Mus musculus: one gene and its partners. The protein of the gene in region 1 interacts with the protein of each later gene in a pairwise test. Links are inferred from orthologs where the notes say so. Each region holds a gene or a part of one and is shown in the gene's direction. Other genes may lie near its edges.

Region 1 (3,648 bases):
CACCTGAACAGTTTCTTGTGGTTAAGAGTTTAAGTATCTGAAGCATTCAGTGAAGCCTGGTAGCCACAAAGATGAAGTACAGTGGCTTGCTTTTTGACCTTTGTATATAACTTCTATTACATCCTTGCAACGCTTTTATTTTTCTTTTAGAAGAAACAGCCAATACTTACCTCCTCCTTGGTATGTGCTTAGACTCTTGTGCACGCTATCTGCTATTCTCCAAGCAGCTATCACAGGCACAAAGGATGTATGAAAAAGCCCTGCAGATTTGTCAAGAAATACAAGGAGAAAGACACCCACAGGTAAGAGATGAAACAGTGTATGTAAGCCAGGCCTGCCCGGTGGCACAGGTACTCTGTAGAGGGTCATAAGGTCACAGGTTCAAGGGTGCTGGGCAAAGTTGGTGAGCTCCCATGCCAAAGGGCTGGGGGCGTATTTCAGCTTGCATGGCACTGGTAAAGTTCTACATTCAGTGACTAGCATCAGTTATGGGTGTGGCAAGACATGGTTAGCCATGTGAAATGTCATAAGGAATGCAGGTTGATATCCAGATGTATGGAATCCTGCCACTCCCCGGTCTGTTCATTTTTTTTCCACCAGCTTTCACTACTCCCAACTACTTGTTTCAGGAAGGGTTTGAGATTGCTGACTAAGTCACTGGCACTGCATAGGCCCTTTTCTGAGTCATGGTTTATACAGTAGTCTTTGTACAAGGCAGACTTTTAACCCAGGGGCTTCAGAATATGTAGCCTCATGTTTACAGTGGTTTGTAGACTCTTAGAATCTTTTTTTTCTTCCTCCTGGAGCTGGGGACTAGACCCAGGGGCTTCTTCCATACCAATCAGAACCTTGCAAGTAACTATTTAGTTCATATAGAAGTATCTTTTTCTCCTGGGTAACTGGGAGGTGAGGAAGTAGAGATTTTTGAATTTGGGATGGGGCAGGGAGAGGGGGGCAGGACTAGAGATTAAAACTAGGACCTCATAAATTCAAGGCAAGGGCTCTACCACTGAGCTGTGGCCATAACTTATAAAAACACTATTAAAAGCAATATATAGCAAACCAGTAGCCAACATTAAACTAAAGGGAGAGAAACTTGAAGTAGTCCCACTAAAATCAGGGACTAGACAAGGCTGCCCATTTTCTCCCTACCTATTCAATATAGTACTTGAAGTCCTAGCCTGAGCAATTAGACAACAAAAGGAGATCAAGGGGATACAAATTGGAAATGAAGAAGTCAAAATATCACTATTTGCAGATGATATGATAGTATATATAAGTGACCCTAAAAATTCCACCAGAGAACTCCTAAATCTGATAAACAGCTTCAGTGCAGTAGCTGTATATAAAATTAAACCAATGGCCTTTCTCTACACAAAGGATTAACACACTGAGAAAGAAATTAGGGAAACAACACCCTTCACCATAGTCACAAATAATATAAAATACCTTGGCGTGACTCTAACTAAGGAAGTGAAAGTTCTGTATGATAAGAATTTCCAAGTCTCTGAAGAAAGAAATTGAAGATTTCAGAAGATGGAAAGATCCCATGCTCATGGATTGGCAGAACTAATATAGTAAAAATGGTTATTTTGCTGAAAGCAATCTACAGATCAATGCAATCCCCATCAAAATTCCAACTCAATCTTCACTGAGTTAGAAAGGGAAATTTGCAAATTCATCTGGAATAACAAAAAAACCTAGGATAGCAAAAACTATTCTCAACAATAAAAGACCCTCTGGTGGAATCACCATGTCTGACCTAAAACTGTACTACAGAGCGACTGTGATAAAAACTGCATGGTACTGGTACAGTGACAGACAGGTAGATCAATGGAATAGAATTGAAGACCCAGAAATGAACCCACACACTTATGGTCACTTGATCTTTGACAAAGGAGCTAAAACCATCCAGGGGAAAAAAGACAGCATTTTCAACAAATGGTGCTGGCTCAGCTGTTGGTTATCATGTAGAAGAATGCAAATTGATCCATTCTTAACTCCTTGTAGAAAGCGCAAGTCTACGTGGATCAAGGAGCTCCACATAAAACCAGAGACACTAAAACTTATAGAGGAGAAAGTGGGGAAAACCCTCAAAGATGCGGGCACAGGGGAAAAATTCCTGAACAGAACAGCAAAGGCTTGTGCTGTAAGATCAAGAATTGACACATGGGACCTCATAAAATTAGTTTCTGTAAGGCAAAGGACACTGTCAACAAGACAAAAGGGCCACCAACAGATTGGGAAAGGATCTTTACCAATCCTAAATCAGATAGGCGACTAATATCCAATATATATAAAGAACTCAAGAAGCTGGACTCCAAAAAAATCAGAAAAATGGGGTACAGAGCTAAACAAAGAATTCTCAACTGAGGAATACCAAATGGCTGAGAAGCACCTGAAAAAATGTTCAACATCCTTAATCATCAGGGAAATGCAAATGAAAACAACCCTGAGATTCCACCTCATACCAGTCAGAATGGCTAAGAGCAAAATTCAGGTGACAACAGATGCTGGCAAGGATGTGGAGAAAGAAGAACAAATCCTCCATTGCTGGTAGGATTGCAAGCTGGTACAACCACTCTGGAAATCAGTCTGGCGGTTCCTCAGAAAATTGGACATAGTACTACCGGAAGATCCAGCAATACCTCTCCTGGGCATATATCCAGAAGATGTTCCAACTGGTAATAAGGACACATGCTCCACTATGTTCATAGCAGCCTTATTTATAATAGCCAGAAGCTGAAAAGACCCCAGATGTCCCTCAACAGAGGAATGGATACAGAAAATGTGGTACATTTATACAGTGGAGTACTACTCAGCTATTGAAAACAATAAATTTATGAAATTCTTAGGCAAATGGATGGTTCTGGAGGATATCATCCTGAGTGAGGTAATCCAATTACAAAAGAACTCACATGATATGTACTCACTGATAAGTGGATATTAGCCCAGAAATTTAGAATACCCAAGATTCAATTTGCAAAACACATGAAACTCAAGAAGAAGGAAGACCAAAGGGTCGATACTTCGTCCCTCCATAGAATGGGGAACAAAACACCCATGGAAGGAGTTATAGAGACAAAGTCTGGAGCTGAGATGGAAGGAAGGACCATCCAGAGACTGCCCCACTCAGGGATCCATCCCATAAACAGCCACCAAACCCAGACACTATTGCATATGCCAGCAAGATTTTGCTGACAGGATCCTAGATAGCTGTCTCTTGTGAGGCTATGCCAATGCCTGGCAAACACAGAAGTGGATGCTCACAGTCATCTATTGGATGGAACACAGGGCCCCCCAATTGAGGAGCTAGAGAAAGCACCCAAGGAGCTGAAGGGGTTTGCAACCCTATAGGTGGAACAACAATATGAACTAACCAGTACCCCATGAGCTTGTGTCTCTAGCTGCATATGTGTCAGAAGCTGGCCCAGTCGGCCATCACTGGAAGGAGAGGCCCATTGGACTTGCAAACTTTATATGCCCCAGTACAGGGGAATGCCAGGGCCAGGAAGCAGGAGTGGGTGGGTTGGAGAGCAGGGTGGGGGGGATTAATACAGACTTGAGATCATCTCTACTTCTTCTTGCAAAAACCATTCTTGAGGTAGGAGTTGACTGCTCTGTTTGATAACTGTAGTCCACCAAGTA
Region 2 (3,174 bases), about 36 Mb from region 1:
CCCCCCGCGCCCCTTTTCCCCCAGCCTCGACTCCTTGTCCACCAACTTCTTGTACCATGAATTGAATTACATTCTGGGTGCTTGGGGGATCTCTTGACATCTGTTTTCCTCTGCTGAGGGGGAGGAGAGAGAGAGAGAGAGAGAGGGAGAGGGAGAGGGAGAGAGAGAGAGAGAGAGAGAGAGAGAGAGAGAGAGAGAGGGAGAGAGGGAGAGAGAGAGAGAGAGCCTGAGCGAGCTAGTCCCCTCCCAGGTGAAGCAGTGGAACTGCCCAGTCCCAGAGTTCATTCCACCGTGGCTAGAAAAGTAGATAAGGGACTGGAGAGATGGCTCAGCAGTTAAGTGCACTGAGTTCAATTCCCAGCAACCACATGGTGGCTCACAACCACCTGTAATGGGATCTGATGCCCTCTTCTGGTGTGTCTGAGACATGACAGTGTACTCATATACTTTAATTAAATAAAATCTTTTTAAAAAGAAAGAAAAGAAAGGAAGGAAGGAAGGAAGGGAGGAAGGAAGGAAGGAAAGAAAGAGAGAGAGAGAGAAAAGGAAGGAAGGAAAAAAAGAAAGGAAGGAAGAAAGGAAGGAAGAAAAAGAAAAAAGGAAGGAAGGAAGGAAGAGAAAGGAAAGAAAGAAAGAAAGAAAGAAAGAAGGAAAAAAAGAAAGAAAGAAAGAAAGGAAGGAAGGAAGGAAGGAAGGAAGGAAGAAAGAGAAAGAAAAGCAGATAAAGGGAGACTTGGAAAGGGGTAGAGACTGCTCCATGATTATATAAAATAGAGCCAGCTTGAGGCTGGTCTGGATCTCCTAACCCTGTTCAATGGGCTTTCTCTGTTTCTGTCTCACAGTGTTTCTCTCCATGCAGGCAGAGGAGAAGGGGCCACCTCCCCCACTCTTACCTCCTTCACCCCGACTGGTGGGATTTAGGAGAACACTTCTCTAATGATTGGCCCTGAGGAATGAAAGCTCACAGACTCATACCCAGAGGTCGGGTGTGGCAGAAGTGTCCTCTCCCCTGCTGGTGTGTTGCTTTCTGTACAGGCAACCCGAAGACTCGGTTATGTGATCCTTCTGGTCAAGGGACCTCACTATGGTATGTGCCCTTGAGCTCAGGAAGGAGAGACGATCCGGGTAGCATGGGGCAGATCGAGGAGGGCATCAGTTCCTGCTTCTCCTGTTCTGTTTACAGACAAGCTGCTGTCCTCCCTGAGCAAGGGGGGAGCAGAGGAAGACAGTGCCAAGGTGGCACGAGGCTGCCCATGTGCCTGGTCCGAGGTGGTGTTTGCAGCATGCCAGACACCCAGAGGTGCTACTCTGAGAACCCAGGTCCCCAACAGAGCATCTTGCAGGCTTTGAAAGCTGACCTCTGACCTGGGAGCAACCAGAATCTGGGTACCCCAACCCCCGCCCCGGACTCAGAGCCCCATCACCACCAGTGAGTCTTGGCTCTGCTTATAGCATCTGACGCCAGAGGGGCTGAAAATAGCCCCTGGAGAAGGGGGAGAGGGGGAAGAAGGGGCTATTTAAAGGGCTCTGGAGGAGCAGGACATAGCAGAGGGAGCAATCAGAAATCATGGCCACTTCAGAGCTGAGCTGCCAAGTGTCTGAGGAGAACCAGGAACGCAGGGAAGCCTTCTGGGCTGAGTGGAAAGACCTGACTCTGTCTACCCGGCCGGAAGAGGGGTGAGTGTGAATCATTGGGAGGCTCTGCCTCTGCTCCCCCAAAGCACCTGCTACATATCAGAGTACAAGCCCCTGAAGTTTCTGGGGCCCCTCCCCTGCTCCAGGGAACTAGCTATGCCAGGGAGACCCCACTTAGCCCAAGACCAGAGAAGAGCTGCCCTCAGTTCACCACCTTTGTCTCCTTTCCACTTTCAGATGCTCCTTGCACGAGGAGGATACACAGAGGCATGAGACCTACCACCGGCAGGGACAGTGTCAGGCGGTGGTACAGCGCTCACCATGGCTGGTGATGCGCCTGGGTATCCTCGGCCGTGGGCTACAGGAATACCAGCTGCCGTACCAGCGGGTGCTGCCCCTACCCATCTTCACGCCCACCAAGGTGGGGGCCTCCAAGGAGGAGCGCGAGGAGACCCCCATCCAGCTTCGGGAGCTGCTGGCCCTGGAGACGGCCCTGGGCGGCCAGTGCGTGGAGCGCCAGGACGTGGCTGAGATCACAAAGCAGCTTCCCCCTGTGGTGCCAGTCAGCAAACCCGGGCCCCTGCGCCGTACCCTGTCTCGATCCATGTCTCAGGAAGCTCAGAGAGGCTGAGATGGACTGTGTGACTCAGACTCCACTGTGTCTGTCTCAGGCTAGGCACTTCCTGGCTAGGACAATGGAGGAGAGCTGCTGGCAGTGGCTGCTTTGTAGTTTGCCCAGAGGTGGGAGCTATGGGAGGAGGGAGCCCGAGGCCAGGATGCCTAGGTGTCCTGAGTCCCCACAGGGAAGGGAGCGAGGATGGCGGGCACTAGGAGTGGAGAGCTGAGCACCCTCAGCCCCAGAAGAAGAGACAAGAGATCCTGGTGAGAGGAGAGGCCCCTGGGAATGGCCTGCTCGGGAACAGATGGACTAGGAGAAGGATGTGCAACGCTCTGGAAAGGAGGGGGATGTGAAGAGGGTGGAAGTGGGCAGGCCCCCAGCACCCTCTGGTAGCACTGCAATAAATGCTCAGCCATGTTCCACGCTTCTCTCTTTCTTTGTGGTTGGGGTGGGCATGAATGTCCACCGTGCACTTCTGGGAACAGCCAAGCATTGGAGCTAAATCTGGCATAACCAGAGGGTACACTCCATGCTTAGGGGTGGGGTACAGGGGCAGAGCTGTAAACAGGGGGAATGTCTGGTCCCCCTTCCTGTGCCACTGCCCAGCCCTGGCTTCATGTCCAGTTCCTGGCACTGGAGCGTGTCTAGCAGGCCAGCTGGCTTCAAGGTTTGTTTAAATGATATCTGTGGAGGAGGTTATGGAAGGGGCTGGCACCAGGGCCGTCCTTGGCTGTGCCTTGGGGTGTGGATGGGGTCAGTGACCCTAAGGCCTGTCAGTTGTAGATCCAGACAGAATCAATCCTTGGCTGGCATCAGGTGTCCCACTGTCCCTGGCCTGGGTGGGAGGACAGGGTTTAAGTTCCTGTCTGTGACCTCTGCAGCTGTTGTGATGATCCCCATCCCAGCCTGGGTGTCTGGCC
Region 3 (4,221 bases), on another chromosome or scaffold:
GGGGGGGGAGCGCGGCACCGCGGGGCTGCGAGTCCGGGGCGGCGGTGGGGGGGAAACGCGGCGGAGCCGCAGCCTCCCCGGGGGCGCCGAGCGCGGTCGGCCTGAGCCTAAGGGGGGGAGGGGGCGGCTTCGGGAGGGGACCGCGGGCACGATCGGTGCGGCGGCGGGAGGACGCGAGCCCCGGCGCGCCGCCCCTGCGGCCCCCTCCGCCCGTGTGGCCTTTGTGCCGAGCGCGCACCGGGTGAGCGAGCGGGCGGGCGGGCGAGCGAGCGGGCGGGCGGGCGAGCGCGACAAGTCCAAGTACGGGAGACCGAGGCAGTGGGAAAAGAGGCCGGGCCACTTTGCTCGCCAGCCAGCTCGGCTGCGGAGAACCGACTGGTTGAATGTGGCAGAGGCGCGTCTCGCTGGCGCGGCCGTGTGTGTGTGTGTGTGTGTGTGTGTGTGTGTGTGTGTATGTGTGTGAGTGTGTATGTGTGTGTGTGTGTATGTGTGTGTGAGTGTGTGTCTCTGTGGCTGTGTGTGTCTGTGTATGTGTCGGTGAGTGTGTGTCGGTGTGAGTGTGAGCGCGCGCCGAGAGGCCTCCCTCCGCGACTCGCACCGCGCACACGCACCCGCACCCGCACGCACACCCGAGCCGCGGCGGGGCCGGCGGCCGAGAGTTTGCGTGTGTGCTCTCCCCGCTCGCCACCTCCCCGCTCCCCGCCGCCGACTGTGGGAGAATTTCCTAGAGATCGCCTCCAATTTCCGCCATTTTGGGAAAGTTGCACGGAAAAAAAAAAAGAAGAAGAAGAAGAAGAAAGAAATAAAGCCTCCGCTGGATTTTTTTTTTTTTTTTCCTCCTGCTGGAAGCAGGAAAGTGCTTTTAGGGAACGCGGCGGCGCGGGCTCGACACTGCCGTCCCCGCGGGGTGGAGGACGCGGGGCCGGGCCGGGCACCCGCACCGTCGCGGCGATCTTCTCCGCGCAGCGCCGCCGGTGCGGGCGCGGGCGTGCGAGCGAGGCGAGGCGAGGCGGTGGCGGGCTGCGGCGGGGGCCGTGGAGCCTGCAACTTGTTTACCGCCGCCCCGGGTGGCCGAGGCCGGCGGCCGGGGTCCGCCTCGCCACCCGTGCGTGCGCCGATCTGCGCTCATGGGCTACTGTCTGGTCCACGCTCGCGTCCTGGGCCCGGCGGGGCCGGCCTCGCGCAGCGGCGGCGGGGCGGGGGAAGTAGAGGCCGGCGGGGGTGGGGATCGGGAAGCGCAGGAGCGGAGGCATCCGCCGCGCGCCCCGCCAGCCAGCCAGCCGCCGGCCGGAGGAGGAGGCAAACTTGAGAGCGGCGGGGCCAGGGGCGCACTGGCGGAGGGAAAACTTTAATCGCCTTCTTGGGAGAATAGAAAAAGGGAAAAAGAGAAAAGGAAAAAAAAATCCAAAAGGCAAAAAAGTGCATGTGTGTGGGGGTTTCTAGGACCCGAACCTCACGATCGGATCTGATCCGATCACGGCCCACCGCGGGGCCGTGAGAGAAAGTTGACCAGCGTGGCGGCTTTCTTCGCGTCCGGCCGTGGTGTCTGTCTGTCCGTCCGCGCTCCGACCAAACGGGTGGGAGATCCAGCCGCACTGCCGGGTCGCGTGGGTCAGGGCTCTTGCCCCACCCTTCCACGGGGACACGAAGGTAAACTCGCTTTGGTTTTTCCTTCTCTGTCCTCCTGCAGCCACCGCCCAGCTTCCTTTTCCTCTCCTTTCCCCGCTGATTTATTTTTCTTCTTTTTTTTGTTTTTTTAGGGGGGGGGGACCCGAAAAACGGAGTCTCTTTCCTTATGCAACTTTCTCGGGCGCAGTTTGCTGGGCCCATCCCCCCCGCCTTCTGCATCCCTTGGCCCGCTCCTTTGCCACCTTGGGGCTACCGCCAAAAGCATGCATTTAAGATCATCCAAAGTGCCCAGGAACAAAAATAGATGTTAAAGAATTGTTCTAAGTTAAGGGAAACTGAGACGAGAAATAAGAAACCGGTTTGAGTGTGTGTGTGTGTGGGGGGGGGGGGGAGGTGCGTCGCCTGGGATGAGTGAGTTGAATTTTCATTTCAATTTTCGTAGGTGGTTGGTTATGATGCCTTTATTGGTGTGGGGAGCCCGGGAAGCTCTGTACTGGCTACCTCGGTTGCGTGGATTTTTGCGCAAGTTTTTAGAAAAACACTGACTCGAGTAGAGAGCCGGAAAGTTTCAAGTGCAGCAAAATAGTGAGCCTGCAAAACTGGCCAAGGGGGGACCTCTAGTGGTTAAACGCATCTTAAGTTCGAGAGACAAGACCAAAGTTTGGCCTTTACTTGTAGCTACATGCAGTCCGTTTAGACGTGGAAGTAATTAGAAGACCTGAGTTGCAGCCAGATGTGAGAAAGGATGCTAGTCCGAAATAGAAGTTTTGTAAATCAGAGAACAATGACGTCTAAGCTTGCGGACCCTGTGATTTCCATCCTTTCTTGCATACAGTAAGAAAACCAAAGCTTTTTATTCTGAGATTTGAGATTGACACTCCCTAGATAAGAAAGTTTGTCTTCTGTTTACCATCATCTGTACCTCCGTTTTTTTTTTTTTTTATTTCCCCTCTTACGACTCATAGCAGGTAGCTTAATTCGGAATGTTAAGGAAAAGTCAAAATGAAACCTGTGCTTAGCACTTTGCAAAAAACTGAAAAAAAAACAAACCTGAAATTAGCTTTTATATGAACTGATCATTTTGTATGTGTCTCTGATGCATATAATCTCAGGCTAACAAATTATTCAACAATTTACGTATAAACTTACATAATATATACTCATAAAATACATAGTATCTTCTCGTAACGGTGTAATTTTGATTCACTGAGTAAAAACATTTATTTCAGTATACTTTGTATAATTTACGATTTAAACCACTTTATATATGCATGGGTTACATAACTATTTCCCAGTGTGTATTCTGTATTTAAAAAAAAAACATTGAATTTTAAGGATAAAAACAGGAGGGATTAAGGTTGTATAGAATCATTCTTGTAATTACCACCTGTCCGTCACAGTGAAAGAGACAGGGTCCATCCATCTATGTAGCTCAGGCTGGAGTTGAATTTGTATTTCCCTCCTGGTGCTTGGGTAACAGTCTTATTTACAATGGGAATTTTTATTATGTGGTTTAGAGTACGGGAATGATGTGAGTGATTAAAATTAATTTCACCTTACATGTACCTAGTTAATTTGAATACACAGTGCAGTGTGGTGTGATGGGTGTTGAGTTTGAATTGTATATTATGGATGCGAGGGCTTTATGAGAGTGCTTTGAGGGTGTTTGTTTGTTTGTTTGTTTGTTTTCCTTTTCCTCCAATATAATCAATGCTAGATCCTTAAAAGAAGTCTTGGGGGTACACAGCAGTTCTGAAGGTCACCAGACAGATGTCTTTCACTGGACACTTGGTTTCCAGTGCAGCTGGAAATTAAAGAGAGTGTGTGACAGGGTTAGTAGAAAGGAAAACAACAACAAAACTTAAGTTTGTGGGAACTGCTTTGAATGTTTGAACAAGTAGACAGTAGGCGTGCTTGAAAAGGTGAAAGAAGCATTGGGCAAAAAGGAGTGTCCCGTAGCGTATGTGTGCCTTTGGTATGGTTGCATGGGAGGCCAGAGACCAGCTTGAGTTGTTACAGTTACAAGCTTTCCTGCTCTGCTCCCAGTCATCCTTTTTTCCCCCCTCCCTCTCTCCAAACCTGGCTCACTGATTGGCTAGACTGGCTGGCCAGTGAGCTGCAGGCCCTCCCTCCAGTGCTCAGGTTACAGAGGAGAGCGCTCCGGGATTTAGGGATTTAGGGAAGTGCTGGGGAATCTGAACTCGGGTCTTTGTGCTTTCTTGGCTGTCTCTTTATTGACTTTGCCTTCTCCCAGTTCCTTGTTACTAGATTTTGGGGGAGGAGACGGGTAATGAAGGGTTTCTCTGTGTAGTCCTGGTTGTCCTAAAACTCTCCCTGTAGGCCAAGTTGGCCTCCAACTCACAGAGATGCACCCACCTCTGCCTCAGGCATTCTGGGATTAAAGGTGTGTGCCACTACCACTCAACCATTACTGTATTCTTTTTTTTGTTTTTGGTTTTGTGTGTGTGTGTGTGTGTGTGTGTGTGTGTAGCCATGGCTGTCCTGGAACCCACTTTGTAGACCAGGCTGGCCTCAAACTCAGCAATCCGCCTGCCTCTGCCTCCCGAGTGCTGGGATTAAAGGCATGCACCA

What was found.
Region 2: the proteins of Ttc19 (region 1) and Tcap interact in binary tests that used the Homo sapiens proteins (3 or more experiments, as listed by UniProt). The link is inferred for Mus musculus from reciprocal best matches to the Homo sapiens genes TTC19 and TCAP.
Region 3: the proteins of Ttc19 (region 1) and L3mbtl3 interact in binary tests that used the Homo sapiens proteins (3 or more experiments, as listed by UniProt). The two-hybrid records come from large-scale screens. The link is inferred for Mus musculus from reciprocal best matches to the Homo sapiens genes TTC19 and L3MBTL3.

What each region holds. Positions count from the first base shown.
Region 1 is NC_000077.6:62,308,892-62,312,539, forward strand, and holds part of Ttc19 (tetratricopeptide repeat protein 19, mitochondrial), read left to right. Parts: exon of another isoform or gene 1-150; coding exon 151-302; intron 303-3,648. UniProt on the Homo sapiens protein: Required for the preservation of the structural and functional integrity of mitochondrial respiratory complex III by allowing the physiological turnover of the Rieske protein UQCRFS1.
Region 2 is NC_000077.6:98,382,280-98,385,453, forward strand, and holds Tcap (telethonin), read left to right. Parts: upstream 1-1,531; 5' UTR 1,532-1,567; coding exon 1,568-1,677; intron 1,678-1,872; coding exon 1,873-2,266; 3' UTR 2,267-2,674; downstream 2,675-3,174. UniProt on the Homo sapiens protein: Muscle assembly regulating factor. Mediates the antiparallel assembly of titin (TTN) molecules at the sarcomeric Z-disk.
Region 3 is NC_000076.6:26,371,130-26,375,350, reverse strand, and holds the start of L3mbtl3 (lethal(3)malignant brain tumor-like protein 3), read left to right. Parts: upstream 1-1,278; 5' UTR 1,279-1,650; intron 1,651-4,221. UniProt on the Homo sapiens protein: Is a negative regulator of Notch target genes expression, required for RBPJ-mediated transcriptional repression. It recruits KDM1A to Notch-responsive elements and promotes KDM1A-mediated H3K4me demethylation.